Linked DNA regions of Arabidopsis thaliana. The protein of the gene in region 1 interacts with the protein of each later gene in a pairwise test. Each region holds a gene or a part of one and is shown on either strand. Other genes may lie near its edges. The genes, in order: AT1G19210, HAI1, AT4G23050 and AT4G18340.

Evidence for each region.
Region 2: the proteins of AT1G19210 (region 1) and HAI1 interact in a two-hybrid assay, tested with the Arabidopsis thaliana proteins (one large-scale study listed by BioGRID).
Region 3: the proteins of AT1G19210 (region 1) and AT4G23050 interact in a two-hybrid assay, tested with the Arabidopsis thaliana proteins (one large-scale study listed by BioGRID).
Region 4: the proteins of AT1G19210 (region 1) and AT4G18340 interact in a two-hybrid assay, tested with the Arabidopsis thaliana proteins (one large-scale study listed by BioGRID).

What each region holds. Positions count from the first base shown.
Region 1 is NC_003070.9:6,625,494-6,631,965, reverse strand, and holds AT1G19210 (Integrase-type DNA-binding superfamily protein), read left to right. Parts: upstream 1-4,277; 5' UTR 4,278-4,435; coding exon 4,436-4,993; 3' UTR 4,994-5,172; downstream 5,173-6,472. Other genes in the region: ARF19 (auxin response factor 19), read left to right, coding at 32-187, 279-363, 451-541, 618-978, 1,056-1,194, 1,277-3,021, 3,113-3,303, 3,388-3,571; AT1G19200 (cyclin-dependent kinase, putative (DUF581)), read left to right, coding at 6,071-6,472.
Region 2 is NC_003076.8:23,892,160-23,900,156, reverse strand, and holds HAI1 (PP2C protein (Clade A protein phosphatases type 2C)), read left to right. Parts: upstream 1-3,217; 5' UTR 3,218-3,659; coding exon 3,660-4,136; intron 4,137-4,219; coding exon 4,220-4,522; intron 4,523-4,891; coding exon 4,892-4,997; coding exon of another isoform or gene 4,998-5,020; exon of another isoform or gene 5,021-5,129; coding exon 5,130-5,485; 3' UTR 5,486-5,753; downstream 5,754-7,997. Other genes in the region: AT5G59210 (myosin heavy chain-like protein), read left to right, coding at 6,538-6,573, 6,671-6,758, 6,846-6,892, 7,158-7,247, 7,330-7,383, 7,560-7,637, 7,726-7,794, 7,890-7,997. UniProt on the Arabidopsis thaliana protein: Acts as a negative regulator of abscisic acid (ABA) signaling for stomatal closure in leaves, and controls water loss during leaf senescence. Activated by the NAC029/NAP transcription factor during ABA signaling in senescing leaves.
Region 3 is NC_003075.7:12,076,454-12,086,235, forward strand, and holds AT4G23050 (PAS domain-containing protein tyrosine kinase family protein), read left to right. Parts: upstream 1-3,606; 5' UTR 3,607-3,658; coding exon 3,659-4,005; intron 4,006-4,196; coding exon 4,197-4,629; intron 4,630-4,738; coding exon 4,739-4,864; intron 4,865-4,967; coding exon 4,968-5,490; intron 5,491-5,617; coding exon 5,618-5,658; intron 5,659-5,747; coding exon 5,748-5,816; intron 5,817-5,908; coding exon 5,909-6,009; intron 6,010-6,134; coding exon 6,135-6,213; intron 6,214-6,304; coding exon 6,305-6,403; intron 6,404-6,489; coding exon 6,490-6,558; intron 6,559-6,654; coding exon 6,655-6,704; intron 6,705-6,810; coding exon 6,811-6,892; intron 6,893-6,968; coding exon 6,969-7,063; intron 7,064-7,158; coding exon 7,159-7,255; 3' UTR 7,256-7,803; downstream 7,804-9,782. Other genes in the region: AT4G23040 (Ubiquitin-like superfamily protein), read right to left, coding at 1-23, 198-368, 503-719, 805-1,457, 2,086-2,169.
Region 4 is NC_003075.7:10,128,223-10,136,035, reverse strand, and holds AT4G18340 (Glycosyl hydrolase superfamily protein), read left to right. Parts: upstream 1-3,843; 5' UTR 3,844-4,016; coding exon 4,017-4,089; intron 4,090-4,309; coding exon 4,310-4,646; intron 4,647-4,882; coding exon 4,883-5,591; coding exon of another isoform or gene 5,592-5,624; exon of another isoform or gene 5,625-5,716; coding exon 5,717-5,791; 3' UTR 5,792-5,986; downstream 5,987-7,813. Other genes in the region: AT4G18335 (uncharacterized protein), read right to left, coding at 6,673-7,167; AT4G18330 (Translation elongation factor EF1A/initiation factor IF2gamma family protein), read right to left, coding at 7,449-7,813.

The DNA.
Region 1 (6,472 bases):
AATGCTGATCTTTGCTCAAAATGTGTGACAGTATGATAGAGAAGCATTGCTAGCTTCTGATATGGGCTTGAAGCTAAACAGACAACCTACTGAGTTTTTTTGCAAGACTCTTACTGCAAGTGACACAAGCACTCATGGTGGATTCTCTGTACCGCGTCGTGCAGCTGAGAAAATATTCCCTCCTCTTGTATGTCTCTCTGATCAAAGCTACTCTCAGTTTCTTTTGCTTCAAACTTTTGAATCTGTTTTGCTAAAAGTTCTAAGGGTGCTTAAAATAGGATTTCTCGATGCAACCGCCTGCGCAAGAGATTGTAGCTAAAGATTTACATGATACTACATGGACTTTCAGACATATCTATCGAGGTTTGAATCATCTAAAGTTTGTTTTATTAGTCTAAAAGATTGAAAACTTCAACCTGATTTGTTTTCTTTGATGTAATCTGATCTCAGGCCAACCAAAAAGACACTTGCTTACCACAGGTTGGAGCGTTTTTGTTAGCACAAAGAGACTATTTGCGGGTGATTCAGTTTTGTTTGTAAGGTATGAGTCATACTTTGATCAAAACATTAAGCAGAATTGGACTTTCATCTTCTCATAAGGGTACTTGGGTTTGCAGAGATGAGAAATCACAGCTGATGTTGGGTATAAGACGTGCAAATAGACAAACTCCGACTCTTTCCTCATCGGTCATATCCAGCGACAGTATGCACATTGGGATACTTGCAGCTGCAGCTCATGCTAATGCCAATAGTAGCCCTTTTACCATCTTCTTCAATCCAAGGGCAAGTCCTTCAGAGTTTGTAGTTCCTTTAGCCAAATACAACAAAGCCTTATACGCTCAAGTATCTCTAGGAATGAGATTCCGGATGATGTTTGAGACTGAGGATTGTGGGGTTCGTAGATATATGGGTACAGTCACAGGTATTAGTGATCTTGACCCTGTAAGATGGAAAGGCTCACAATGGCGTAATCTTCAGGTAATGACATATCCGAGTTATGCTAAACTGTTTATGATGGTCATTTCTTCTGAATCTTTTGTTCATGGTTTAAACAGGTAGGATGGGATGAATCAACAGCTGGAGATAGGCCAAGCCGAGTATCCATATGGGAAATCGAACCCGTCATAACTCCTTTTTACATATGTCCTCCTCCATTTTTCAGACCTAAGTACCCGAGGCAACCCGGGATGCCAGGTGAGTTTACTGCTTTCGTTCATTTTTTTCCCATAGATCTTTGACTGAGTTTCCGGATACTAACCTTGGTGGTTTGTTGCAGATGATGAGTTAGACATGGAAAATGCTTTCAAAAGAGCAATGCCTTGGATGGGAGAAGACTTTGGGATGAAGGACGCACAGAGTTCGATGTTCCCTGGTTTAAGTCTAGTTCAATGGATGAGTATGCAGCAAAACAATCCATTGTCAGGTTCTGCTACTCCTCAGCTCCCGTCCGCGCTCTCATCTTTTAACCTACCAAACAATTTTGCTTCCAACGACCCTTCCAAGCTGTTGAACTTCCAATCCCCAAACCTCTCTTCCGCAAATTCCCAATTCAACAAACCGAACACGGTTAACCATATCAGCCAACAGATGCAAGCACAACCAGCCATGGTGAAATCTCAACAACAACAACAACAACAACAACAACAACACCAACACCAACAACAACAACTGCAACAACAACAACAACTACAGATGTCACAGCAACAGGTGCAGCAACAAGGGATTTATAACAATGGTACGATTGCTGTTGCTAACCAAGTCTCTTGTCAAAGTCCAAACCAACCTACTGGATTCTCTCAGTCTCAGCTTCAGCAGCAGTCAATGCTCCCTACTGGTGCTAAAATGACACACCAGAACATAAATTCTATGGGGAATAAAGGCTTGTCTCAAATGACATCGTTTGCGCAAGAAATGCAGTTTCAGCAGCAACTGGAAATGCATAACAGTAGCCAGTTATTAAGAAACCAGCAAGAACAGTCCTCTCTCCATTCATTACAACAAAATCTGTCCCAAAATCCTCAGCAACTCCAAATGCAACAACAATCATCAAAACCAAGTCCTTCACAACAGCTTCAGTTGCAGCTACTGCAGAAGCTACAGCAGCAGCAACAGCAGCAGTCGATTCCTCCAGTAAGCTCATCCTTACAGCCACAATTATCAGCGTTGCAGCAGACACAAAGCCATCAATTGCAACAACTTCTGTCGTCTCAAAATCAACAGCCCTTGGCACATGGTAATAACAGCTTCCCAGCTTCAACTTTCATGCAGCCTCCACAGATTCAGGTGAGTCCTCAGCAGCAAGGACAGATGAGTAACAAAAATCTTGTAGCCGCTGGAAGATCACATTCTGGCCACACAGATGGAGAAGCTCCTTCTTGTTCAACCTCACCTTCCGCCAATAACACGGGACATGATAATGTTTCACCGACAAATTTCCTGAGCAGAAATCAACAGCAAGGACAAGCTGCATCTGTATCTGCATCTGATTCAGTCTTTGAGCGCGCAAGCAATCCGGTCCAAGAGCTTTATACAAAAACTGAGAGCCGGATCAGTCAAGGCATGATGAATATGAAGAGTGCTGGTGAACATTTCAGATTTAAAAGCGCGGTAACAGATCAAATCGATGTATCCACAGCGGGAACGACGTACTGTCCTGATGTTGTTGGCCCTGTACAGCAGCAACAAACTTTCCCACTACCATCATTTGGTTTTGATGGAGACTGCCAATCTCATCATCCAAGAAACAACTTAGCTTTCCCTGGTAATCTCGAAGCCGTAACTTCTGATCCACTCTATTCTCAAAAGGACTTTCAAAACTTGGTTCCCAACTATGGCAACACACCAAGAGACATTGAGACGGAGCTGTCCAGTGCTGCAATCAGTTCTCAGTCATTTGGTATTCCCAGCATTCCCTTTAAGCCCGGATGTTCAAATGAGGTTGGCGGCATCAATGATTCAGGAATCATGAATGGTGGAGGACTGTGGCCCAATCAGACTCAACGAATGCGAACATATACAAAGGTTAGAGATCTTTCTCTCCCTTTCCATAGCTCTAATCTTTTGCTTCTTAATTTTCGAATGCTAAATGCCGAAAGTTGTTAAATCATTGAAGGTTCAAAAACGAGGGTCAGTAGGTAGATCAATAGATGTTACCCGTTATAGCGGCTATGATGAACTTAGGCATGACTTAGCGAGAATGTTTGGCATCGAAGGACAGCTCGAAGATCCGCTAACCTCTGATTGGAAACTCGTCTACACCGATCACGAAAACGATATTTTACTAGTTGGTGATGATCCTTGGGAGTACGTTCCAGACCTGAAAAATCTATCTGTAACAGTCAAGATTGAACAATTCTGATAATTCTTGTCTGTTTGTTTTTTCCACAGAGAGTTTGTGAACTGCGTGCAGAACATAAAGATACTATCATCAGTAGAAGTTCAGCAAATGAGCTTAGACGGAGATCTTGCAGCTATCCCAACCACAAACCAAGCCTGCAGCGAAACAGACAGCGGAAATGCTTGGAAAGTACACTATGAAGACACTTCTGCTGCAGCTTCTTTCAACAGATAGAAATAAAAAGATGCAAATATACCAAGTCAACTTACATTATCATTCGAGGCCATCGCAAAGTACATGTTTTTTTTTGTGTGTATGTACTGCAAACAACAAACTGAGAAGAAGAAGATACTGCACGGTATATAAACATTTTTATAGGACAGTGATTTGATTTTTCATTCTAACTTGATGTTGTTGTACTTTCTTGTTTCCATATTTGTATAACAAGTATAATGCTTGACAAGTCTATGAGGAGCATATCTTATACAGAGATACTAAGATGTAATGTTAATGTAACTAAACAATTACCTTCATTAATCATGAATCTTTGGTCGTTTCTTCTTCTTCTCTTCAGTGCCTCCTAAGAATCAGGGATCATTTCAGATTCTTTTATACCAGTATCCTCTAGACGCAGCGAAATATTCAACATTTCAACGTTTGAAAACGAAAAGAGAGGAGTTAAAGAAAGAATCACGTGAAAAACAAGGACAAGGACAAGAAAACCAAACAGTCTCTGAGATTTCCCGTGTGAGTTGTGACCCACACACATTAAGACTCAAGCTTCTAGTAACATCCGCCACGTGTCCATTCCCCTGACACTTTGCGGCGTTTTAAGTACAAACGCGCTCCCTTTGACCTTTGAAGCTGACCTTCTTTCTTCTTCACGCGCCATAAAAAGTCAAAAACTCACTCTTCACTCTTTTATTTCACTCGTATAAATAAATTTCTGAAGCGCCAAATACAATTATCTCAATTCAAATCAACACTAACACTGAAGAACAGAGCTCACTGAAAAAACTTAACAGAACAAAATTAAACCGGAAAACAGAGAAATCATACCGGGTTGGTTCAATCGCGTCTTTGTTTGGTTTAATCGTGATGGAAGGGTCGTCTTCTTCGATGCAGTCAAAGTACAAAGGAGTGAGGAAGAGGAAATGGGGAAAATGGGTTTCAGAGATCAGACTTCCCAACAGCAGAGAACGTATTTGGTTGGGCTCTTACGATACTCCTGAGAAGGCGGCGCGTGCTTTCGACGCGGCTCTTTATTGTCTCCGTGGCAACAACGCAAAGTTCAATTTCCCTGATAATCCTCCGGTGATCTCCGGCGGACGTAACTTGTCGCGATCTGAGATAAGAGAAGCTGCTGCGAGGTTCGCTAATTCGGCGGAGGATGATTCAAGTGGCGGAGCAGGATACGAGATACGGCAAGAATCTGCTTCAACATCGATGGACGTTGATTCGGAGTTTTTGAGTATGCTTCCGACGGTTGGTTCGGGTAACTTCGCTTCGGAGTTTGGGTTATTCCCTGGGTTTGATGATTTCTCCGATGAATACTCCGGTGATCGTTTCAGAGAGCAGCTTTCGCCTACACAAGATTATTATCAGCTTGGAGAAGAGACTTACGCCGATGGTTCCATGTTTCTTTGGAATTTTTGAATTCCATTATTCACAATCTGAAAATTTTGACTTGGGTTTTTTATTTTTTTTTGTAGTTCTTTACCCAATTTTTTTTTGATCATTGGGATAAAGAGTTATTCATTCACTATTTTTTTCCCACGTGTTAGATTTTTCAGATGGGAAAAGGCCAAACTTAATAAAACAATTATATTTGGATCTTCTGACGTCATTTGATCATATTATCATGATATCATCCACTCCAATCGCTTTCACTAGGCCCAATTACAAATCTTATTTTAACTGTACGATTAAGCCCAACAATAATACTTCAGGCCCATTAAAATCAATAAGGGTATTGTCTTATTAAATTTCAATTACAATTTTTACTTTAAGTTGTACGATTAAGCCTAATAATAATATTTCAGGCCCATTCAAACAAAGGCAATAAGGGTATTTGTCTTATTAATTTTTATATATTTATTTTCTGATATATTTGACAACGACCTTATTAATGTTTTAAGGGTTTTCAATATAATCATTTCAATGAATATCTTTTAAGAAAAAAAAATATACAATTCAGTAATCAATTAAGCCAGTGAAATTCAAGGATTAATTGGAATTAAAAAAATTGAAACAAATAGTTTAAAATTGTTATGAAATTATGCTACTATAATTTATCTAAACCAAAACGAATATTCTTAGCCACTAACTATTAACTTGACAAATCCTACAGTTAGTTATATTCAAAAAAAAAAAAAGAAGAAGAAGAATTAAGAATCTAGTTACGTAATTGTCTCAAATTCAAATTACATATTGCATTATATGTTTACAAGTGGCAAAAATGTTAATATAATATGCAGTAATTTTTTAAAAATAGAATCTGGATATATTGAAAGGAAAAAGAGTTTAATAGATAACGTAAAGAGCTTTATTAACAAAATGCGAATATCCGACCCGTAAAGAAATGCGGATATCCGGTGGGGCTAAGTCTGTAGCTTCTCCATTTCATCTTCTTTCTCTTCTCCACAATCAGATTTTCCTATAAGATTTGCTTCTTCCATTGCTCTTCTCATCGTCATATATCTTTCTGTTTCTTTTTTTCAGTTCTCGATTAATATGTTATCAAGCAATCCAATGACCTGGAAACTCTCCCACATGGTGGTTCCAGGTAAAAACTCCACTATTTCGCCGGATTATTTCACGGCTAGTCAAACAAGTCCTTTAGATATGATGAAATTCCCGTCGCCTGGAAGTTCGAAGAGGTACGATAATGGCGGTGGAATTGGTTTAGGTATCGTCGCTGCGCTTGAGAAATCCAGCATCGGGATCAATCCGGTTTGCCATACCGGTGCCGGTTCCAAAGGATTTGACCTGGCTCGATATTCCAAGAGATTCCAATTCGCGGCGGGGATTGATCTATCTGACTCTGAGGAATACACTTGCGTCACGACTCGTGATGGCCTGACCAAAGTCTATTACAAGGAAGAAGAGTTTGAATTTGGTCATAATCTATTGAAC
Region 2 (7,997 bases), on another chromosome or scaffold:
ATATAAAATTCACCATACTATATATATATTGTTATATGTACGAGGTTACTGGTTAGGAGAAATACTCAACGACTTTGTTTGAATCGGTTTAGCCAAACCACAGCAATCATTTTCTCAAAACATTTAGCGTATAGAACAAAGACTCATATGTAATTATTTTAACCAGGATTTGTAGCTTAGTGTTTGTAACTGTATGGTTCGTCATGGATTCGGAAAAAGAAAAAAAAAAGTGTATTTGACAATGGCTTTGTGTTAGTACAATAGGCTTTGTGTGATTAGTATTTTTCCAATTTCCATAAGCTTATTATAATAATTTGACAATTTGATCATATAGTATCATTTTAAATCATAGGTTACGAGTGTCGAAATTCTTGTTTTAAAAAACAAAAAAAGGTTGGTACCAAATTGACAAATGTCGACTACGTAACATAGTAAAAGTTCAAAGACTACGCAATCTGCCGGCCATGCAGGCTCGAGGAAAAATCTGCCCCGGGAGAACACGTGTCGGAATCAAATTTGCCACGTAATTATTGAAACTTCTCCTTTGGTAACTGCGACCTCAACGACCATTAACCGCAACGTGGGGCTTGTGTCCGACACGCGTCTCCTTAGGCCTCAAAACTAGACTTTAGAGTTAAACCTTATTTATGTCTTGTGGACAATGGTGACACCTCATTGGTTCCTCGTAATTGCCGAACTTTCTTTCAAACAACTTACGTTTAGATTGGAACATTAAGCTTTTACAGACTAGTGGTTAGGAATAGGAAAAATATTTGTGTTTTGAGTTTAAAGTTTGTGTTTTTCAAACTAGATGTTGAGTTTGGCGCATGGTTTTGAAATAAATTTAAACAGGAGAATCCATTAAACACATAACTCAACATCGAGTTTGAAAAATGTATGAGATCGGGCATTGTTCATTATCAAGAAAAGCATTTTGTATTAATGTATATAACTAATCATGTGTGATGTGGAAATTCCAACGACAAATTGGTAAGATTTCAATTCAAAGTTACAAAACAAAGACGAGATAATTAATCAAACTAGCTAGGACAATATATTGTCTCCTTACCGAAAGCTCTCCAACCACCTACTAAAGTAACTAACCATGTTTCAGTTATAATTTTATTTTTTCGTATTCCTATCAAGTATCAAATGATATAGTTAACCAACATTTATATATATATATTGAAATCACTAAACAAACAACAAAAGTAACATAGATTTTAATGGAACTAATTTTCACCTTATATTTTTACATAAGATTTGAAAGTGATGGTTAGTGACTTGTTGGTCGATGACGAATTTGTTTTCAGGTTAAATTTTAATAATAATAATATTTGAAAGAAAGATGAAGCTTTCACGTGGCACAATGTATTTGCCTACTGTCAACTTCAAAAACCTGGCAACTGCTATGCAGCTTCAGAGGACACGTGTCATGTGTTACACACGCGCTTCGTTTTTTTTCAACCTTTTGATTTTGTTTTGTTCTGTGATGTGGGACTCACATAATTCAAATCATCATCCTATTGCTTGCCGCCACGTCCCAGAGAATTTTCCGCGAAAAGCTGAGCTTCTCTCTTTCTTTCCTTAATTTTAGTTAGGTTATGAATTATTTTTGTATTAATACTAACTAACTAAAATATCATCATCACATTACATAAACATAAGATTCATCGGCGTAACGTAAGTAACAGTTAAAGCCCAAATTACAACTCTCGATCCTACTTAATGCATAGTAAACGAATGTTGACACAGAAAAAATCTTGGTCAAGACATAAAAGTAGAGAATGTAAACACGTGTCGAACATCGAGGAAGAAAACAGGTCAGAGAGGGGTCAACGTTGTTAAATGTTAGTAATAGAGAAGTGGTCCCCAGTTTCCACCAAAACCCATCTACGTACTTGTATCTCATTGGATGTCATTCCTGATTGATTTAGAATTGAAAACGTTATATTTTGTTTATTTCTAATTGTTGATTGAATATCTTATAATTTTTGCCCACAAAAGAAAATTATAAGTGTATAATATATAGTTCACTCGAATTTAACATGTCCATTGTCCAATGTAGAACGTATGATCATTTCTGTTTTTCAGTTGCTTTTATTTTAAATTCCCAAAAACCCAATATTGTGTCAAACATTGGAGAATGATGTTCACTTTTATTGTATTCACAAAATGCTACTTATCAACTAAGAAAATTGTAATGTCAAACATAAGATGGTGATATTTTAAAAATAGATGTAAAATTAGTTTAGAACTGTCTGATAAGTCATAAGATTGCACGATTATAAATCATTGAATATTCCGGACACTTGTCAAGATTAAAACCATGAATAAGTTTTCAAATTCATTTTCATCATCTCAATTGTAAAACTAGGTAAGATATCCTTTAAAATCTTTGAATATTAGTTCCCCGGCCCATATAAAATCTCTTAAATATATTTATTTGAAAACTCTGACTGTTTGCACTTGCAGCATAAAAAAAGGGATGAAACAAATGGAACAAATGCAGAACAAAACTAATAGACCAGACAAGTAAAACAAACGAAACAAAACAAGTGTTGAAATGATAACTCACAAATTTGAACTTACTTTTCTAGCAAATAAGAAATTGTTCTAATTAAAAAAAAAAGCATATGCAGTCTCAAATTGTTTCTAAGAAGTATTCACGCACCAAGGTTATATTTGTAGTGACATATTCTACAATTATCACATTTTTCTCTTATGTTTCGTAGTCGCAGATGGTCAATTTTTTCTATAATAATTTGTCCTTGAACACACCAAACTTTAGAAACGATGATATATACCGTATTGTCACGCTCACAATGAAACAAACGCGATGAATCGTCATCACCAGCTAAAAGCCTAAAACACCATCTTAGTTTTCACTCAGATAAAAAGATTATTTGTTTCCAACCTTTCTATTGAATTGATTAGCAGTGATGACGTAATTAGTGATAGTTTATAGTAAAACAAATGGAAGTGGTAATAAATTTACACAACAAAATATGGTAAGAATCTATAAAATAAGAGGTTAAGAGATCTCATGTTATATTAAATGATTGAAAGAAAAACAAACTATTGGTTGATTTCCATATGTAATAGTAAGTTGTGATGAAAGTGATGACGTAATTAGTTGTATTTATAGTAAAACAAATTAAAATGGTAAGGTAAATTTCCACAACAAAACTTGGTAAAAATCTTAAAAAAAAAAAAAGAGGTTTAGAGATCGCATGCGTGTCATCAAAGGTTCTTTTTCACTTTAGGTCTGAGTAGTGTTAGACTTTGATTGGTGCACGTAAGTGTTTCGTATCGCGATTTAGGAGAAGTACGTTTTACACGTGGACACAATCAACGGTCAAGATTTCGTCGTCCAGATAGAGGAGCGATACGTCACGCCATTCAACAATCTCCTCTTCTTCATTCCTTCATTTTGATTTTGAGTTTTGATCTGCCCGTTCAAAAGTCTCGGTCATCTGCCCGTAAATATAAAGATGATTATATTTATTTATATCTTCTGGTGAAAGAAGCTAATATAAAGCTTCCATGGCTAATCTTGTTTAAGCTTCTCTTCTTCTTCTCTCTCCTGTGTCTCGTTCACTAGTTTTTTTTCGGGGGAGAGTGATGGAGTGTGTTTGTTGAATAGTTTTGACGATCACATGGCTGAGATTTGTTACGAGAACGAGACTATGATGATTGAAACGACGGCGACGGTGGTGAAGAAGGCAACGACGACAACGAGGAGACGAGAACGGAGCTCGTCTCAAGCAGCGAGAAGAAGGAGAATGGAGATCCGGAGGTTTAAGTTTGTTTCCGGCGAACAAGAACCTGTCTTCGTCGACGGTGACTTACAGAGGCGGAGGAGAAGAGAATCCACCGTCGCAGCCTCCACCTCCACCGTGTTTTACGAAACGGCGAAGGAAGTTGTCGTCCTATGCGAGTCTCTTAGTTCAACGGTTGTGGCATTGCCTGATCCTGAAGCTTATCCTAAATACGGCGTCGCTTCAGTCTGTGGAAGAAGACGTGAAATGGAAGACGCCGTCGCTGTGCATCCGTTTTTTTCCCGTCATCAGACGGAATATTCATCCACCGGATTTCACTATTGCGGCGTTTACGATGGCCATGGCTGTTCCCATGTACGACGTCGTTTTATTATAAAAATTATCCTTTAATTGACCGTTACGACGTCGGTTTTTAATTTTAATAATATGATGTTTAGGTAGCGATGAAATGTAGAGAAAGACTACACGAGCTAGTCCGTGAAGAGTTTGAAGCTGATGCTGACTGGGAAAAGTCAATGGCGCGTAGCTTCACGCGCATGGACATGGAGGTTGTTGCGTTGAACGCCGATGGTGCGGCAAAATGCCGGTGCGAGCTTCAGAGGCCGGACTGCGACGCGGTGGGATCCACTGCGGTTGTGTCTGTCCTTACGCCGGAGAAAATCATCGTGGCGAATTGCGGTGACTCACGTGCCGTTCTCTGTCGTAACGGCAAAGCCATTGCTTTATCCTCCGATCATAAGGTTTTGTTCGTTTTTTGATAATCTCTCTTGTTTCGTTTATCCATCGTTAAATGTTTATCCGTTAGATCTACGGTTATGGTTTACTCACTGTAATGAAACGAGAATTTCGTTACGTGTTGCGTTCGAAACTTACCTATTAATATTGTTTAATGCATTTTTTATTTATTATTTCATTTATTGGAAATTAGAATCTTCTTTAATGTGCATGCAACACCTGGACGACGATTAAGAATGTTTAATGACTTTTTACTTTTTAGATAGAGGATCTGATAAAGTTTATGAGTTTTAAGATTCTTTAATCCTTCGTGTCACTGTTATCAATGACTATATCATTCTCTCTCTCTCTCTTGTTTAAATTTGTTGTAACAGCCAGACCGTCCGGACGAGCTAGACCGGATTCAAGCAGCGGGTGGTCGTGTTATCTACTGGGATGGCCCACGTGTCCTTGGAGTACTTGCAATGTCACGAGCCATTGGTCAGTTAATTGATTACACTTGACGAAAACACTCTTGTCCCTATCCTAATGTTTGTACAAAGTTTTTCCGTACTTTCAATAATGATGATTATTAACTCTCGTTTCGCCGCGGATTTTTTTTTTTTTTTTCAGGAGATAATTACTTGAAGCCGTATGTAATCAGCAGACCGGAGGTAACCGTGACGGACCGGGCCAACGGAGACGATTTTCTTATTCTCGCAAGTGACGGTCTTTGGGACGTTGTTTCAAACGAAACTGCATGTAGCGTCGTTCGAATGTGTTTGAGAGGAAAAGTCAATGGTCAAGTATCATCATCACCGGAAAGGGAAATGACAGGTGTCGGCGCCGGGAATGTGGTGGTTGGAGGAGGAGATTTGCCAGATAAAGCGTGTGAGGAGGCGTCGCTGTTGCTGACGAGGCTTGCGTTGGCTAGACAAAGTTCGGACAACGTAAGTGTTGTGGTGGTTGATCTACGACGAGACACGTAGTTGTATTTGTCTCTCTCGTAATGTTTGTTGTTTTTTGTCCTGAGTCATCGACTTTTGGGCTTTTTCTTTTAACCTTTTTTGCTCTTCGGTGTAAGACAACGAAGGGTTTTTAATTTAGCTTGACTATGGGTTATGTCAGTCACTGTGTTGAATCGCGGTTTAGATCTACAAAGATTTTCACCAGTAGTGAAAATGGTAAAAAGCCGTGAAATGTGAAAGACTTGAGTTCAATTTAATTTTAAATTTAATAGAATCAGTTGATCATAACAAAATCTTACCTTTTTAAATTTATTTTTTGTTATATATAGGACGATGTTTATAGGAATATTAGAAATGTTAGACTGATATCTTTAAGAATAGGAAAAGAACCAAATATTTACTAAGGAATTTGTTTTCAAGTGTATTTTGTAACTAAACAAGGCAAACAATCGGTATAGAATACTTCAAAGGTTAATTGGGAGGATTCAATATTATAACATTTTTTTCTTATTATGTAAAACGTTTTTTTTTTTTTTTTGCCAACATAATCTATAAAACATGTTTATATAACTCTTCATCAAACGGGTATGGTTCACACTTTATCATGTGACATATTAGAAGATGTCGATCATTAAGACTGAACATTGTTTAAAGTACTTAGAAATCAAAATGATGATTCAAGCTTTGATAACTTCCAACCGTTTCCAACCGCCAAACTTTGGTAACTTTTTTAGAATCGAACTCCTAGCTATCGCCTAACGATTTTTTTGAACATTCTCGTTTTTTTTTCTTTTAAATGTCTTTGCAATTGCATAAACTGGTTTTTTTTTTTTTTTTTTTTTTTTGTCGGAAACTGGTTTTCTTTTATCATCCTGTTTTCAACTTTTATTCAATTTTTTTTTTCTTTTTGAAATTGAAAAACTGGGCTCGCTTTCAAGGTCAGAGAGTTATATATGTCCATGGGCCTATTTAACACTCCTATAAGCCCAAATATAGATATATTCCATTTTTGTCGCCGGCGATTTCCTCACCGTTAAATCGACGTTCGAAATTCCGAGGAGAGGAATCATACCATGGAATCGCACCACGCGTCTCTAGGTCGCCGTACTGTAAGGATATTTCCGATATGGCCGTCTTTATCTTCATCTGAAGACAGTTTCTTACATCGGTGCTTTTTTGTTGTTATTAATTTCTGTGATCTTGTAGTTGGAAGAGATTCGTCAAAAGAGAGCAGCTCAAAGGCTAAGCAAAGCTTCTTCAGGTCCAGATCTTAGTGAAATTCCCAATCCTGCCGGTAATTTTATTCATCTCCAATTTCAATGTTTTGCCATCTCCTTTTCCACTAGCTTTGCAATTTTGATTGACTACTTCATTATTTCAGATTTCCCAGTGATCAGAAAATCTGAGAGCGGAAATCGACTTTCTGAGGTAGCATTTCTCTGCTTATCAAAAATTGTACCTGGTGATCTAATTGGATTCTTTAGAATTGCGACGGTCTTGATAATGAGAATGCCTTAATCGAATCATGTCTTCTAGGATTTATGGACAAATTTGATTTTGCATATTGTCCTGAGGATAGGCTCATTCAACTTTTCTTGAGTAAATGAATGAACATAAATGGGAGTTTTGTATTGGTTTTACTGATATTATGATCTTCCTGGTAATAATGGTTTGTTTTGAATAACTTGTACAGACAGATGTTGGTGCTTTATATTCCCAGCTTAAAGAACTGCAGAAGAAGAATGCAGAAATGGAGGAGCGCAACAAAATTTTGTCTTCAAAGGTCTGTGTCTATCTCTTTGCCTTGTTGGATATTAGATCCAAGGTTGTATGTTGATTAAACTGTATTTGTCTGTGGGATTCAGCTTCAAACGAAGGAAGTTGAGAATGAATCACTTGAGACTCGGTTGAATGTGCTGGTAAGTAACAAGTAAACTTTTATTTGTGATCTTATTTAGTCCTGGTTGGCTGCAGTTTGTTTAGTTTTTTGTACTAATTGGTTTGTGAGGCTTGACATGCAATATGAATCTCTGGACAGTCCATTTGGTAAACGATTCAAGATGTCTTGACATATACTCTTATCGATGAATGACAGGAACAAAACACAGTGCCATCTCTGAGAAAAGCCCTCAAGGAAATTGCAATGGAGAAAGATGCTGCTGTTGTTTTACGAGTAGGGAATACACTTGTTTTAGTTCTTTTGGTGCAAAAAATTATCTCCTTTTTTATTGCATTTTGATAGGCATAGCTTTTGTTTATAGGAGGATCTCTCAGCTCAAGTTAGGACTCTTAAGAGACGTGTTAATCAGGCAGAGGAGGAACAATATCGAGTATGTAACAATCTTTTGCCTTCCAAATTAAAAATTTTCTTTCTTCTTTTTTTTTTTTTCTTTTCTTAAAAGATACCATAACCCATTGTTGATAGGCTGAGGAAGATGCAGCATCTCTTAGAGCAGAGCTTAATTCGATACAACAGCAAGCAATGGGTAATTCATTTGCTGGCATGTCGCCAATGGGAGTTTCCCCAGACCAA
Region 3 (9,782 bases), on another chromosome or scaffold:
AGCGATGCAAGATACTCATCATCCTGCACGAGTTTACATTTCAACAAGAATAAAAACTCATCATCATCAGTATCCTTCGATGACCTAAAGGGGGTGAAACTCTCTACCCATTACTTCTATTCTTGTCACAAGGATAGATCAGTAAAGAGTATTCTCCAATCAACTTGGGGAGGAAAGAAACAAAAAATGTTCCTAACCTGCTGTTCTCGAATCAACCTCTGAGCTGTCAATGACGGTGAGGGTGGACGCTGTGTCCTTTGCGGATAATGTGCATAAGGAACACCATATTCACTCTCAGAAATGCCACCAAACATGGCAGCCTCTAGCATGATAGCTTCATCATGTTCCTCAGAAGAAATGCCTCCCCACTTATACCAGAATGTAATAAGAGTATTAGCTCAGGAATGGAATAACTACTCTAGGATACCTACTTAAAAGTAATACAATTATACAGGTAATCTGATCGTTCTCATATAGGAAACAAACATATATCTTTTGCTACCTCAGAAGGAAAACCATTGCCAGCACCCGGTGAATGAATAGTTGCATCTTCTGCTTCAGGGCTCCGGGGAAGATCATCATTAAGTGAGCTCCGAGATCCAGAAACCGCACGTCTTGGTCTGTGGCTAACAAGGGGTTCCTCTTCCTCCTCAACATAATCAGGGTCATCGTCATCATCATCATCATCATCCTCAGACAGTGAGCTAGGTGCTGCGAATCTACACATATAAAAACAATTTCTTGGGACATTGTCTAGGAAACACAGAAGACAAACTGATAGACTACAAAACAGAACAAACTAACCTTCCATTTGAGGCTCGGGAACCCTGCTGTACTGGAATAGAAACCATTTCAGAAGCTTCTCTTTCTGAGGATGAAGCCTTCCAACCTTCACTGCGCAACACTTCTCGCTCAGCTGACTGCACTGTGACAGATTTTGTTACGTCATCACCAGTCTCCATTTTGGAGGCCTCAATAGCAGCTCGAATAATTTGTTCTTCTATATCATTGTAATGTTGCATATTATTTTCTGCAGAACCAACAGGTACAGCATGCCTACTTTGTCCGGTTGGAGCAGACTGATTATCATCATCACTTACTTCATCTATAATGACCGCCTCTTGGGCAGCTGGACCGTGAGCTTGAGCTGTCTCGGTCACATCCTCAATAGTAGGAGCATCATTAGATTGACCTGATGGCCCATTGCTGTCTTTAACCTCTATAGGTATCTCCCTGGCCTCCCTTGGATGACTAACAAATGGGGGACGCGACATAACAGGATCATTATCAAATAGACTTCTCCCAAAGTTTGGATCACGAAGCGGGAACGGGTCCGTTGTTCTAGCTTCAGAGAGGACTGGAGTCACACCATCATCTATATCCATTGCATCATATGAATTTTGATCTCCATGAGTAAAGTATGCATTCACAGCTCTATTGAGGTTCCCACGATACTCCTGCAATAATGATAGCATGTAAGTTTTGGCAAACACGAGGAACACCAGCCACACACAAAAAAAAAACTTACAAGTTATAATGATGCTGAGACAATAGAATAATGACTAAAAGATAAGAATGCACAAAGGACACAATAAAAAGTTCTCTAAACCCAAACTAAAATTGTACACAAGATGAGTTCTGAAAAAAAATTCATTGACTTCAATAACTAACTTAAACCCCACATGAATATCTCTAAAATACCAAAAATCCAGACCAAAATCCAAAAAAGAACAAAACTTTTCACAACTAATTTCACAATGAGCAGGTATAAACTCGTTTAGATATCAATGAACAATTAACAAAACCAATAAGCATGAGAATTCTGTAAGAAGTCCACATAAAAACTCAATCAGATAATCGGATAAACTAAAATTCAACACAATTAACTCCAATTGCGACCTAAACGCATCAAGATGAGCTTAACAACGATATAACAAAAGCGTAGAGGAGATATAATTCGATGATCCAACGAACAACCACTTGAGCGATTCGAGAAACTTCCAAAAATACTTCAATCAAAAACAAAATAACATCTAAACAATAGAAGGAAGACGGAAAAAACCCAGGGAAGTGTAATTGAATCACCTCGAGCTTACGAACGGCGACGGCATTGGAAGAGCCGGTGATGGTCATGAAGGTGTCAATAGCTTCCTGAGTAGGTGTCGCCATTAGAAAAGAGAAAGCTTGAGAGAAGTTTTTCGTCGGAGATTTGTGTTTGGAGCTGGAGTGAAGGAGGAGGCAAGAATTAATATATGTTGTAAATCACAAAAATTGCAGTGAAGAAAGGAATTGGATCGGTGACTCTTAAGATTTTTAAAGCCTTTTTTAGGGTCTTTCTTCTTTTCCATTTTTTTTAATTCTCCTTTTTTATTTGGTGTGGATTTTCTTAAACTTTATTTTCTTTATTCTTTTTGTATATTTTCGGTGATATTCAAGATATTATTTTCAGAGAACTTGAGATAATATATGGAGTGTCCTAATCTGAATAACTAAATAAATAATTATTCAGTTGAAATTGGATTTTTTTTTTCAGAGTCTTTATATTTTATAAACTGGAATTCGAGTCAAATTCAGAGTGGATTAAACTTATCTTTTTAGTTTTTACTAGCCAAGAACTTTTTGACCTTTTTTTTTAACATGATATTAATTGTTATAGTGTATATACATTAAAAGTTAGATAATTTTTAATGTACAAAAAAAAAGTTACATAATTTATTTTTTTTCACACCAATTACATATTTTATTTGTCAATTTGACAGTAAATATGGAAATAAGCCTTAAAATGTAAAGGCTTTTCGGTCCAACAACGAAAAACCAAAACCAAACCCAAAACTAAAATATCCAAAGATATCCTCACTTTATGATCATCCCAATCTTCCCTCTATATAGTGCCTTTAAAGGAGCTGTCATGTTCTCTTTCGGCCGTTTGTAATATAAGAATTGTCGTTTTTGTCCAAAAAAAAGGGTTGGCTTTCAGTTTGTGTCCCAGAAACAAAGTAAATCTTTAGATAAATTGAAACAAAACTAGCTTTGTGACTCCAATTAAACTTTGCTTCCTCTAAGAAACCTTATGGAGAGTATTATTCTACAATGATTTGAAGTATACTACTAATAATTGATTACATTTAAATTCAACTATAATTTATTGTTATTGTTCTTCAATCAACTTGAACTTTGAGTTTATTGGGCACATTACTTTTAGAGGAATGTGAATGTGAACATTGAAGAGACGTGTATTTTATTTTCTTCTTGACAAATACCGTTGGAGGTATAAAAACACCATCAAACTCAGGCCCATTTGGCAATGGCGGCAACAAGAATGGGTATTATATTGAGGTTAATTTCGTCAATCACCACTTTTAAATCGTGACAAATTCGTCTATTATCTCTCAATCTTCTTCAACCTTCAATTACATCGGCAATTCTACAAGTGGCAGCATCCTATTAGTAACAAACACACGTGGCGTAAGCTAATGCGTCGTAGTGTTTATAATAGCTGGGGTTTGTTAATTATGGCGTCACGAGTGATTTAAGAAGCAGCTGAAAAATAATAAACAATGAGGGAATGCCAACGTTTTAAATTATATTTTTAATTTGTGAATTTTCATCAGAGTCGGATCTTGATGCGACTGCTCAAACAGAGTCACCGGCGATTACGATGGCCGGAAACAACTCGGAATCGAGTCTCTACCAGGTTTTGGTGGAGTGGTGTCAGAGGATGGAGACGAGTCAAGCGAGACTAAGGGAGGATGTTGATGACTTATTGCTTCAGGAGGAGAGTCGAACCGGTAAGGAATCGGCGACGGGATTGGAGACGGACACGGAGAAAGAGGCTGAGGTAGAGGTGGAAGCGGAGGCGGCGGATTCCTGGGATAATCCGACGGCGACTTGGGAGAGAGCTGTTTCAGGATTCTATTTCGCTGATAGTGCGTATCGGACTTTGATGGATTCAATGGGACACGCGATTCATGTAACATCAGCTGCGTCTGGAGAAATTACATTCTGGTGAGCTTGATAAGTTCTTCTTCTTCATCTATGGTGTTTGTAGATCAGGAGCTTATAGTTCTTCTAAGTACTGTTTCATTGAATTGTGTGTTTAAGTAGTTAAACAAAGTTATATATAGCGATTCATTGTATATGCAAGTGGACATTTACTATTTGTTTCTGAGTGGAGAGATTCTTTTATTATTATTCAGGAGTCGTTCTGCTGAGAATCTGTACCATTGGTATGCTGAGGAAGTTGTTGGCTACAGAACTATTGATGTGCTTGTAACCGAAGAATACCGTAATTCCCTTACTGGTATCAGGAATAGGGTGTGCCGTGGAGAGACTTGGACTGGTCAGTTTCCGTTTCAGAAGAAAACTGGTGAACTATTTATGGCTTTGGTGACTAAAAGCCCTGTGTATGAAAACGGTGAGCTGGTTGGTGTTGTTACTGTCTCGAGCGATGCAACCCTTTTCAATAGGATGCATCCACTAAGTAATGAGCATCAACAACAAGCTCGTAGTAATAATAGACATGAATCAAACTTGAGAAAACATCAGTGGCACCTCCCGAGGCCTCAGATCGCTGCAGCATCACAGGTTCCAGTTGTCCCACAATATTCATCAGCTGTTGCTTCAAACCTGGTAGATCTCACATCATGAATGTTCGAAGTTTCTCAGTACTTTTTTTTATATAATAATTCGTGTGCAACATGAATGATTGTTTGTTTTGCTGTTTTCTGCACAAACCAAGAAGGCGTCGAAGCTTCTACCACAGAGAAATGGAGATGATTCCTTCAATGGAAATCATAATTCGAGGAGCCGAGATGAAAATGTTCCGGTTGTTGCCTCCACAACTTTCGAGAAGTATGGCTCACTGGTAAGTCTTCGTTGGCTCCTTAAACAAGACACTTCTCATTGACATTTCTTAGAACGATTATTGTCTCATGTTATAAGCTAAATCTGCATATACACTAGTGTAGGCGGATAAGTTTTTGGGGAAGCTGCAAAGGAAGATTACTGGCAGCCAAGGAACCGAAGATAATGAGCCTATCTTAAGAAACGGTATCAATAAGTCAGCATGTGGCAGTGGAGGTAGTTCTAAGGCTTCTAATGCAGTTACCTGCACGGCTTTCAGAGACAATGGCAATGGAAAACCAAAAAGGGCTGAAGTTAGAATTTCAGATGTCTATGGAAATGGAGCTGAGGGTTTGATACATAATGGAGATCGCTTTCAGTATATTGGGAACCTGGGACAAAGTAAACCTCCCAGAGGACTAGAGAGTGGTTTGGTGTCTGGCATGCGGGGAACAAAAATGTCGGACCTAAATGGTGAGATAGAAGATGCTTGGAATACTCGTCTTAGTGTTGATCCCTTGCCAATTCTAGGAGTCAACAGCGGTAGGCAACAAAGTCCTGTCAACCAAAGGAATAATAGATTAGTTACTGATTCGTCATGTGAGATACGATGGGAAGATCTACAACTTGGGGAGGAGGTCGGAAGAGGTGTATTTCATTTACCAAAGTCTTACACTCGTTTTCACGTTTTAGATATGCAAATTCAATTCAGATCTGTGTCATTGCTGTTTAAATCAGATTACAAGTATTTCTGATGCGTTACATTTTCTCACAGGTTCATTTGCTGCGGTTCATCGTGGAGTTTGGAATGGATCGGTGAGTTTTCTGTAATTTAAGATAAAATAAGGATGATTCTAGTATTAGTTGCACATGGATAACTAACTAGTCCAATCTATTTGGACCAGGATGTTGCTATTAAGGTTTACTTCGATGGTGATTACAATGCGATGACTTTGACGGAGTGCAAAAAGGAGGTATGTATAATTAGTTCTCTCTGTTATGAATTGTTTCTAGAAGTTACTCGTACCAGACAAAATAAATCAGTTTTGATCAATAATATCTTCAGATCAACATTATGAAGAAACTGAGACATCCGAATGTGCTACTATTTATGGGAGCAGTATGTACAGAAGAAAAATCTGCCATAATCATGGAATATATGCCAAGGTGAGATTATTGACGTATGGATCTGGAAGTAGTGTTACTCCTTATCGAGTGTGTTATATTATGCTGCAAGAAATTGCAGATGAATACTCTGTGCTAAGTTATTTCTATACGGTTTTGATGATTAGAGGGAGTCTCTTCAAAATACTTCATAATACGAATCAGCCATTGGACAAGAAACGCCGTTTAAGAATGGCCCTTGATGTTGTAAGACTCTGATCTTCCAAAAACCTCCCTCACAATGAAAGAAAAAAATATGAAAGGCTGATTATATTCGGGTTCTCTGTTGTTGTTGCAGGCTAGGGGAATGAATTACTTACACCGCAGAAATCCGCCAATTGTACATAGAGACTTGAAATCTTCCAATCTACTCGTGGACAAGAACTGGAATGTCAAGGTACAAACAGTTTTCTCAAGTTACATTTATGAAGACTTGTAAAATGAGTTTACTATTGCATGGACTTTCAACTCTTTCTTCCCTAGGTTGGAGACTTTGGGTTATCAAAGTGGAAGAACGCAACCTTCTTGAGTACTAAATCCGGGAAAGGAACTGTAATGTTTAACAAAAGCCATTTCTGATTCTTTTAATCCACAAAACAGTCTTGGATTTCTGTTACTAAACATTGTTCAACTTTTTTCTATGTGCAGCCGCAGTGGATGGCTCCTGAAGTTCTCAGAAGTGAACCTTCGAATGAGAAGTACGTTGGATATAATATTAACCCTTTTTTGTTCTCTTTTCGAAGACATTATTCAATAACTTGAACATTTTTTTGGACTAAAAGCTCAATGCTTTCGTTGTAATAGGTGTGATGTGTTCAGCTTTGGAGTCATCTTATGGGAGCTAATGACTACGTTAGTACCATGGGACCGTTTGAACTCTATTCAGGTACCTCTCAAATTCTGTTCTTATGAGATTATAGCTTGATCATAAGATTGTAGTAATCTTAGCAACTTTAAATTAGGTTGTTGGAGTTGTTGGTTTCATGGATCGACGATTAGACTTACCTGAAGGATTAAATCCCCGGATCGCATCCATAATACAGGATTGTTGGCAAACGTAAGAAGACGCATCTGTAAATTGTTTCATCAAATACACCCTACAAACTTAGGGGCGATTTTTCTTATATTCTTTGTTCTAAATTGTTGAAACAGTGATCCAGCAAAACGACCGTCGTTCGAGGAATTAATTAGTCAGATGATGAGCCTGTTCCGCAAACCAGGGTCAGGTGCGCAAGAAGAAGACGATTGAGAAGGTAAACAGTACATGGTTAAAGGATAGTTCACAAAGCAAAGGACGTGAAAAGAAAACGAAAGCATCGTCCTGATCACTTACTATACAAATGTTTCATTGTGTTATACCAAACTACTATTTATGTTTTCATTGAAAGAAAGAAAGCAAAAATAGCTAAATCAAAGTAATATACAGTAGAATCTTAGGTTAGTTTAGTTAAACTATGCATTATATAAACTGTTGTCGGTTTATGAGCTAAGTTGTAAAATGGGATCTAAAAAGGCAGAGGCGCAGAGGCCAGAGGAGGACTCAGATGTAATTTAAGAAGTAAAAGGGTGAAAAAGAGAAATACGAGAAAAACTGTGAGATTGATGGTGTCTTGTAGTGAATTGTAATGTAGTTGGTTTTGGTTTGATGGGGTAAGAGAAGGAGGAGTGACAATTCGTAGGCATTGCTTCTTTTGCTTTAATATTCTCTTATTACAGCTTCCCATCACTGCGTCGTCTGTAGCTTCTCAGCACCTAATTATAAGAGAGAGTCAGAACCCTAAATAAAACTTTTTTTTCAATCCTTATTCGTAATTCCACATTACAGCATCTTGAAATTGACGCAGTCACAAAAGCATAATTAAAAAAAAAAGGATACAAAGATGGGTCTATTATACCGAGTATGTATTGTGCATGCATGTGACGTGGGTGAAGGGAACTTCTCTTATAGAAGTATTGAAAAAGGAGAAATTTTGGGGGATTGAAAATATTTGTCTGTTTGTCTGGTTAGGTCAGAACAAATCACATCGAGCTGCATAGTAATATTTCGTTTACAACACATGGTTGTGACCTCTAGACAAATAAACTTTTTAACAGTTTTCGCTGTTTTGCCTTGCATGTATTTCGTAGTATTTCAATTTATATGTAACTATATTTCAATTGAAACATCTTTACCATATTATTTTCTTTTTTGATGCCAATTTCTTTACCATGTGTTTGCTCTTGTGTTATTTATGTGTGATTGATTGATTGACCGTGTCGATTACCCAAGCGGAATCTTGTAAAGGGATACTCCGTCACCGTAATACAGTGACAGCATATTTAATTTAAAATAATATAAAGTCATTGTAGGATGGAAAAGTAATTTCTATGATATTTTCTTCCGAACATTATAAAATTTATTTTGTCAGAAGTAGAGCAGATTAAAGTTTCGAAGATGGATACTTTCACTTTTTTCTTGTAAGATATTGATTAGGTATGATTGAGGCTCATGATACGAAATAATGTCAGTGTTGAACTACTAATTTGTTATGCTTGAAATGCTTTTTTATAGGTCAGTAGGTTTTTTTATTTTATTTTTAGGCATATTTATTCTGGTTTAGTTTAGTTAGTTGGTTTCTAAATTTTCCTTACGACTAAAAAATCTAATCCCAAAACCAAACGAAAACAAGAAATAATAAATCGAACAATATTTTTAATAACAAATAGAATATATATATATATATATATATATATTATATCAAATTATTCCAAGATAGAGTTTTTCAGTTCATTCCTAGTTCCTACTCATATATTCTTAATTTCTATTATCTCAAGATTTTATCTTGTCCTCATATCTACGAATTGTATGAAAGGGTTTAATAACCATAATCTATTGCATTGTCCTATCTACGTACACCATAATCGCTTGTGTTGGTGGATCTATAGTAATCTAAACAATTTTTTATTTCCATGGCGTGAAAGTTTGAGCCAACAACTAACGATATTAATCGTACAAATGAGTTTCATATTTTTTTTTGCAATCTCATTTCAAAAAGTGAAACCAAAATTTGGATGCTTCTAATTAACCATAAGATTTTTTATTAGGTGCACCTAATCTTGTTAATAAATTATAATCTTCTTTGATTAGTTATGCTCCTATCCAGATTTCATGCTTCAACTCTATGATTGATCAACTTGCATTATTACTGTACCATAAATACTTTGCCAACGAATGTTAGTTGTGGGGGAAACAACAATTCCGCTGGTAATTTTGACTGAATTAAAAAATTAGAGATAGAATGCAAGGAGACACGTACGAACGAGTTCATACACGAGAAGCAGTTGACCAGAGTCAACAAACCTGTAAAAAGCTAAAGAACCACCGTCCACTCGCAGTCTACTATATACGACTAACTAAGATTCATGCAGGCTCAAGTTTTTGTACTTGTATGACACGTGGCTAGATCGTAACGGCCGTTTAGACTGATGTCTCTTCGTCTCTCCGAGTCTTTGTCCTGTCTTTTTCTCATTGCATGAGACATACCGAAGATTCCAGTGGATTAATTGTCGGTCCATTTCTTTTTTCCTTTTTACTACTGACTTCGAGTTAGATTCTCTAAAGTAGTACACGTGAACCATAGGATTCGTTTATGATTACATAAAACCTTTGTTAGTAGTGTTTGTTCATTTCTTAATTCTGGTTATACATTTGAAACATATGCAAATTTATCACTCGACTTATTAATCCTAAGTTCGTAACTAAGTTCTTTTTGGTTAATTAGCTTATATACTTCTCA
Region 4 (7,813 bases), on another chromosome or scaffold:
TCTCCGTTTTTTTATTTGTCATTGTAATAGGGTAAGTAATAATCATTGAATATGTGTCTAATTTGTTTAAATACAATTCTCTGATACATGCAAAACTAAAATTCTAGAATCGAAAATGCCTAAAAGCTCATGACATCAGACAAGTTGACAAAACAAAATACAACTAAAACCAACGATAAGCTGTCCCCTAATAATATAAAAATTTGAACTTTCAATATAAATTTCTAAAATATTACGTGTCTTATCCTTTAATGTCGCACCCAAATTTACATACTTTTTATAAAATATTTCGAAATTCTCATTTTCTTGTCGTTAACCAAAAAAGATGGAGTAAAAAGAGAAACATACACATAGATTTAAGGCCCTTTTTACGTATGCGCGTCATAAATGAAAAACACTTTGATTAGTATAAGAACATTTAAATTTTAACTACTATAAAGAAAAAAAAAGCACACGTAAAAGCTTTTAGCCATGCATGCACGATGTTTACTGGTTATCGAGAAAGCATTATCGTTGTTGGATAAGACATTAACTTTCCTCTCCTATATGATCATAAAGCTTGTTTTTCTTCTTCATAAATCTTGCCGCTTAATCCTTATCCATTATCCACCAAAAATTCAATTTTGTAGGCAGCTTTATGAAATAATGCTTTACACCATTTTGACTCGATTATAAGTATTATATATATCCACTATTCGAAATGGCCCACGATATCTGTATTTTAATATGACGTCAAATATCTTATTTTGTCTAATGAATCCAAACTAAGTACAGTATGTGAATCTTGGTAATATATGTATATAGAGTTCAGTTCAAATATAAAATACAAGTGTATGACGTCAAAAAGAATTTTTAGATACGTTATAGGCTCATTATTTAACTATATGTTCACTTTGGTGCAGCTTAGTATCTTTTATGCAGATATAATTTGAATTTTTGATCTGGTGAACTATATATTGTTAAGTAAAAAAAAAAACATGTCGGTCCAACCCAACCTAGACCTGTCAAGCATGTTTAATGATGGTTTGGCCTGATCCATTTGTTAAACAGTAGGTAAAATTTGCAATCTTTTTTTTTTTTTGTTTTTTTTTGATTTTGCAATCTTCTCCCTTATCTACACTGTTCTCTTTAAGAAACCCGCTATAACACTTCCCGAATCATTCATGCGGGAGAATTCAAAGGTACCTTAATATTACCACCTTCAAACCAATTCGCACATGGTCCAAGTTGGAAATGGTTAACCAATTTAGTTACCTATCACTATCAAATTCCCACAGTTGGGTGTGATGCATCATACATTTGCAAATGTCCAACATGGAAATCCGAATCAAGTAAACCCTATATATACTCTATTTTTCATGCGTTAAAAGGGTTAAACCCTTTCTTTGAAGAAACTTAACCTTTGTTCAAAAACATTGATATCGTTGAGTACTTGTGTTGCTTTAAAAAGCTTTCATGTCATTTTATTTGCATATTCGATATTGTAAATAAATTGCAGATTAAATGGCATATTCTTTCAATCCGAGCTAAAACAAAATCATTCTCTTTTTCTGTCTGCTGTTTCAAACTTGCTGGACAATTATATGATCTTTCTGATTTGGACATTAAAATATCCACAGATAACGTAAACTTGAAATATTCTGCAACCAAAAATATGTCCATTCAGTAAATAATTAACAAACTAGATCATATTCATGAAGAACTAAACCAGAATCATTAAATTTAAACATTAGAAATAAATTAAAACTTGTGTCATATACTCGATAATAAATCAAATTATCTTTAACTTTACACATATAGGCCTATATAAAACAATCTGTTCGGCCGTGTATGGTATATAGTTACGTCATTATCAAATTAATCTATATGGAACTGCCATAAGTCGACCGGTGGTCAATCCTAAGCCACGAAATCAAACTTTTAAACGACGAACTAAAAGTTTTCAGCCAACTATAAACAGGCCACTCTGAATAATTGACTGATTTTGACTCCTTTCCACATATTTAATTCCAACATCGAACGATTACATTTTTAATTGCAACAAGTTCAATAGCTTGAGACGGGTATATTTCTTATAAGTTGTATACATGTGTTCAAATAAAATGGCTCTTGGTGTCGTGAAAAAGAGAGAAGATTTAATATTATAGAATCGAAAAGAAGACACTAGGGTATTTTGGATTAGATCAATACAGCCAAAAGTTCCACTTTAAATTAATGTAATTTTCTGGCTAGCCAACCTTTCGAGAAAACGAATTGACTATCGTCTACGTGATCAAGTTTAACCCTTTATATTTTACCATTTAAAAATATAGTAAGTAGAAATTAATTGATTAACAAATCAATAGCCAACCAAGCGAAAGCACTTACTATTTCTTAAATAAGTTTTGTTGGGGTTTATTATGTCAGGTGATTAAAAAACAACCGATGGTTGAAATTGACCGACGGCTCCAAGTGTGTGACACTGCCCCGCCAACTTGTCTAATTCCCCTCGAAAGCATATTAGCAACATTATCCCAATTGACCATTTTATTTTACTTTTGTTATGCTAATGCTTTTAGTTATTTGTCAATTTATACATTATCATATTTGTCTTGTTTTATTTTACAAGTGCCTCAAAATTAAGCATGATCCTTTTGTCTAAAGGAAAGTAAGTATATCCCTTCTCTATCATCTTAATCCGAATAACAATATATTTGAGATTTTTTCTTGACAATTAATGGCAAATTATATTACGACTTATATATCTTTCACGAATACAATTTTGGATATCCCGTTCTTGATAACTTTCGAGGACTTGTATGAATTTCCGTCCAAAAGCCTCGGATTACAAAAAGAAAATAAATATGTGATATATGTTTATTTGTATGTATTATATTTCCCGGGAGATTTGAAAATATTAAACTTTAAAGGAGAAACGGAGGAGGCTTCCTCAGTGTACTATTGAATCCTTTGACACGTCAAGTCAAATCGGATCTCCAATTAGCTTTTGTCTAAAGAAATATAGTAAGGTTTGTTTGTCATATTAATTAGGCTAGGATACACTTGCGGTCAAGATTCATGCGAAAATGTAATCATTATTCTTCGAATTTGAATTAGCATTAAATTAATCATAATTAACACGTGATTAGTAAAATCAATGATTCAGATAAATTAGATAATAATATTAATAGTAGTAAAAGTTAATAAGAAAAATAAAGACCATTTTTGTGGGACTAATAACCCATTATAAAATTTCTTTTGTCATGAAGTTTTAGCTGAAAATTTGATATTTTACCTTTCATGATTATTCTACAAGACATGATTATCTATTAAAATTTCATTGTGTTAATATTAATTTTTATACCACGTCTTTTTCTCCATGATTATCGTAGAATAAACTTTTGGTGTATAGTACAAGTTTGTTTTAAGTCACGACTCACCTACTTAATTGAAACGAATATTTTAATATTTTCCGGTGCTTTATGAAACTTCTTCAATATTCTATACACGTCCACTTATGTGTATCCCAATCTCTTCTTAATTTAATAACATTGCTCACTTTTTTTACCAACCCAACAGTTAACACCACTTGTATAGTACATGTAATTAAACGAAACACACAAACAACGTATTTCCTTCCATACATGTGCATGCAAATTGTCTTGTCATAGAGTCTGCATTAATCTAGCTATATGATAAATAACTACATACAAATATTTTAAAACCTAATAATTTTCTTTAATAAGAAATCCTTCGTTGTGGTTTATAGAAAGCCGTCAGTGGATAAAAAAGGCATAAATGAGAAAAGCAATATAGGGAGGCAAAGCTAAACAATTTAAAAACACTTTTTTTAAAAAACATAAACTTCAACACTAAACCTTTTCACAACAAAAAACACGGAAAAAAAACAAACAAGCGAAGAAAAGTATTCTTCACCTTGGTTGGCTTATTGTGTATGTCTATAAATATTCCATTAAACACTTCTCTTAAAACCCAAAACCTTCACAATCTCTTTCCCTCCCTCTCTCTTCCTCAACATGACATCAAGAACATTCACAAGACATTCCAGTCTCATTCATGTTTTTCTCCTGCTTTCTCTCGTTTTCTCAGGTTATTTTCTTTTTCATTCTGAAATTTTAAAACCAAATTCTTAACACTTAAGTTATGCTTTACGTTGCCGCCTTAAAACCTCAACGTGTAAGATTTTAACATAGTGAAATAACGGATCGATAATAAGTCTAGAATTCATTTTTTCAATGTTTGTTTAATGGAATATTAAAGATTTTTGGCATTGTTTTCTAAAAGTTCGATTCTTTGTTTGGAAATATAGGGAATATACTACAAACAGTAACGTCTCTTGGCATCAATTACGGACAAGTTGGGAACAATTTGCCTTCACCGGATAAAGTCATTAACCTCTTGAGATCTTTAAGGATCACAAAAACAAGAATTTACGACACTAACCCTCAAATCCTTAGTGCCTTTGCAAATTCAAACATCGAGATCATCGTCACCATCGAAAATCAGGTTTTACCATTACTACAAGATCCTCAACAAGCTACCCAATGGGTAGATTCTCACATTAAACCCTATGTTCCGGCCACTAGGATTACCGGAATTATGGTCGGAAACGAGCTTTTCACCGACGACGACTCTAGTTTAATAGGGTAAGTACTAATCGTTGAATATTAGTCTAATTTGTTACATGATCACAGAATTAGTTTTTTTTCATTAACTGATTTCACATTTTCTTGACTACCACTTGGTCAAATGTAACGAACTCCTTCGAAAAAAATATTATATTTATTAAACTCCACTTTGAATTTCAATAAGAAATGAGTGTAATAGTTTTTGTCCAATAATTGCTAATTTTGACTATATTCTCTCCTCTTTTTGGTAATAGATACATGATGCCGGCGATAATCAACATCCACAAAGCCTTGGTCCAATTAGGTTTAGATAGATACATTCAAGTCTCGTCTCCAAGCTCTCTTGCCGTCCTCGGTGAATCTTATCCTCCATCTGCCGGAAGTTTCAAGCCGGAGGTTTCCTCCGTGATGCAACAACTTCTAGATTTCTTGGAAGCCACGAAATCTCCTTTTTGGATAAATGCTTACCCTTACTTTGCCTACAAAGATAACCCACAAGAAATCCCAGTCGATTACGTTCTATTCAACCGTAACATCGGCATGACCGATCCCAACACAAGACTACACTACGACAACATGATGTATGCTCAAGTTGACGCAGTTGCTTTCGCGGCTGCGAAACTAGGGTACCGTAACATAGAAGTTAGGGTTGCGGAAACAGGGTGGCCTTCAAAAGGAGATGTCGGAGAGATTGGAGCGTCTCCTGTGAATGCTGCCACGTATAACCGGAATCTTATGATGAGGCAATTCGCCGGAGAAGGAACTCCAGCGAGACGGAATGCAAGACTCGATGTTTATATATTTGCGTTGTTCAATGAAGATATGAAACCAGGTCCTACTTCGGAGAAAAACTACGGTATATTCCAACCAGATGGATCATTAGCTTACAATTTGGGATTCTCTACAATGTCGACAACGACGGCAAATTCAGAATCTGTCACTTATTCATCCTCTGCCACTAAGGTACGATTAGTATTATGTGGTGAATTTTGTTAGAATTTGGAATTATTGGGGCCACGACGAGAATAAGTTTGTGAAAGGACTAGATGTGCAAAATGAATTAATTCTCTGTTTTCTTCTTCTTTCAGGCAAAGAGGAGCTTGGAGTATTGGACAATTTTGATATTGGCGATGGTTCAAGTTGTAATGTTGAGACTATTTTAGAGGAAAAGTTATTGACAATATAATAACGCGATTGTTTAGGATATTTATGTAAACAATTTAATTATAAGCTTGATAAATATAATTTATATTCAATTCAACATTCAAATGAAGTCGGTCAATAGTGAAAATTCTAAATTTATTGTTGTCGTTAACAAGTAATTGACATATATAATAAAGAAACAAAGTTTACTTTTTAAGAAAAACTTGTCGTATATGAAAAGGTTTGAGTAAGTAGTAACTTTGACCAAAAGGCATATAATCGATAACCAGTAGCGGTTTAGAATCAACCATATATTTTTTTCCCTCTAATTCAAGAAATATGGCATAGCTTAATTCATTTGTATATGTTGTTGGATATTTTAAATACAATCCCTAGCTAGTTATATAATATAGATATTAGAATGCAAACATATGCATTGGAGTGGACGGTACGAAGAATTGGAACTGAAGCTAAGAAAAAAAAGCCATGAAACAAGAGCTTATGCTCACGATGCAAATTCACATGCTCATTTCCAATTATATCGGCTCAATATACTCCCTTGTTCTTGCCACAAACGATGCGTTTTGACCTTGAAAACATAGACACATATGCTTTTTTCTCTCCATATATTATTTTACCGATCAGTCAAGTTTAGTTTTATAGAATAAAATAATTCAGCTGCACGTAAGGAAAAATAAGTACTTTCTGAAAAATCAAAGGACACGAACAATCAAACATTAGTATGCAAATTATTTTCATACACTTGACCGTCAAAAATGCACTGATCAATGCACCGGTCATTCCGAACAAAAAAGAAAAAAAAATCTTTAAAAGATGAAAAATACAAAAGTGCGACGAGAGGAACAAAATCGTTTCACGTACGACGTATCGGCAACGATATCTAGGGTTGTGTAGAAAGATCGCAAAAGAGAGTAGTAGCGGAATTAGGGTTCTGGTTATGGCATGGAGATGAACCGGAAGGAGGTACGAATCCTTTGGGAAGCATAACCGAGAAAGTATCCTGTCGAACCGGACGGTTTAAACCGTTATTCTTCTTGGCCATCATCTTGAAGTAGCCAGCACGATGATGAAGACCACGGCGATGACGAAGAGTATGTCGATAGTAGTAGTAGTATTGGTGATTGTAACGACGACGACGGTGGTTGTCTCGTTGCAACCGCTGGTTCAAGATAAACGGTGTCGTTTTCTTGATGTAGACGAGTTGGTGCGGTGATTCGTAACCGTTGAGATAAGCTTCCGTTTTTTGTGTTGATGATACTCTTGTTTCTTGATTCGAAGATGATGATGATGGTGAGATGAGGAAGACGAGAGTGAGAATAAGAGAGACGATGAAGCTTTTTAGAAGACTCTGTTTCATCAAAACCAAATCTTCCATTGGGATTGAAAGAGAGTATAGGGTTTTGGCTGAGAGTAAGAGAGAGCGTAAAGATGAAACAAAAGCTCAGAACGAGGAGGGAATTAGAATTATATAATTCCTAATTAGTGATAAGTAATATCATTAATGAAATTATGAATTTGTTTTTTAAATTTTCGTCAATGTTGTGTTAAATATGAATATAGTTTTATATTGTAGTCGAAAGAAAGTGATTAAACATACAAAGGCACATGTTAATTATTTTTGAATGCAAACAATATAAAAAACTCATCACTACTTCATTAGAAAGGAGGAGGAGGAACATCGATGGTGGTTCCAGCCATAATCTGACCCTTACCAATTAGACGCCAATGCCTATCGACACGTCGGCTTAAAGCAACCTTCTCTCCTATGGTGGTACACACCGGAGACGTCAGTTGGAGTTTCACCATATCTTTCTTGACTCCAATAACCTTAGCTCCCGTAGACATAGACCCGATGTTCACCATCAATATCTCTTCTTTGGTTAGCTTTGACACTTTCATTTGCTTCTCTTTTTCCTTTGTCCTCACTCCAATGAGACGAGTCAGAAGCTGGTAACTTACTTCAAGCTCAACAAAGACGTCAGGGAGAGTACCCATTTCACCAAGGACTTGACCAACCAACC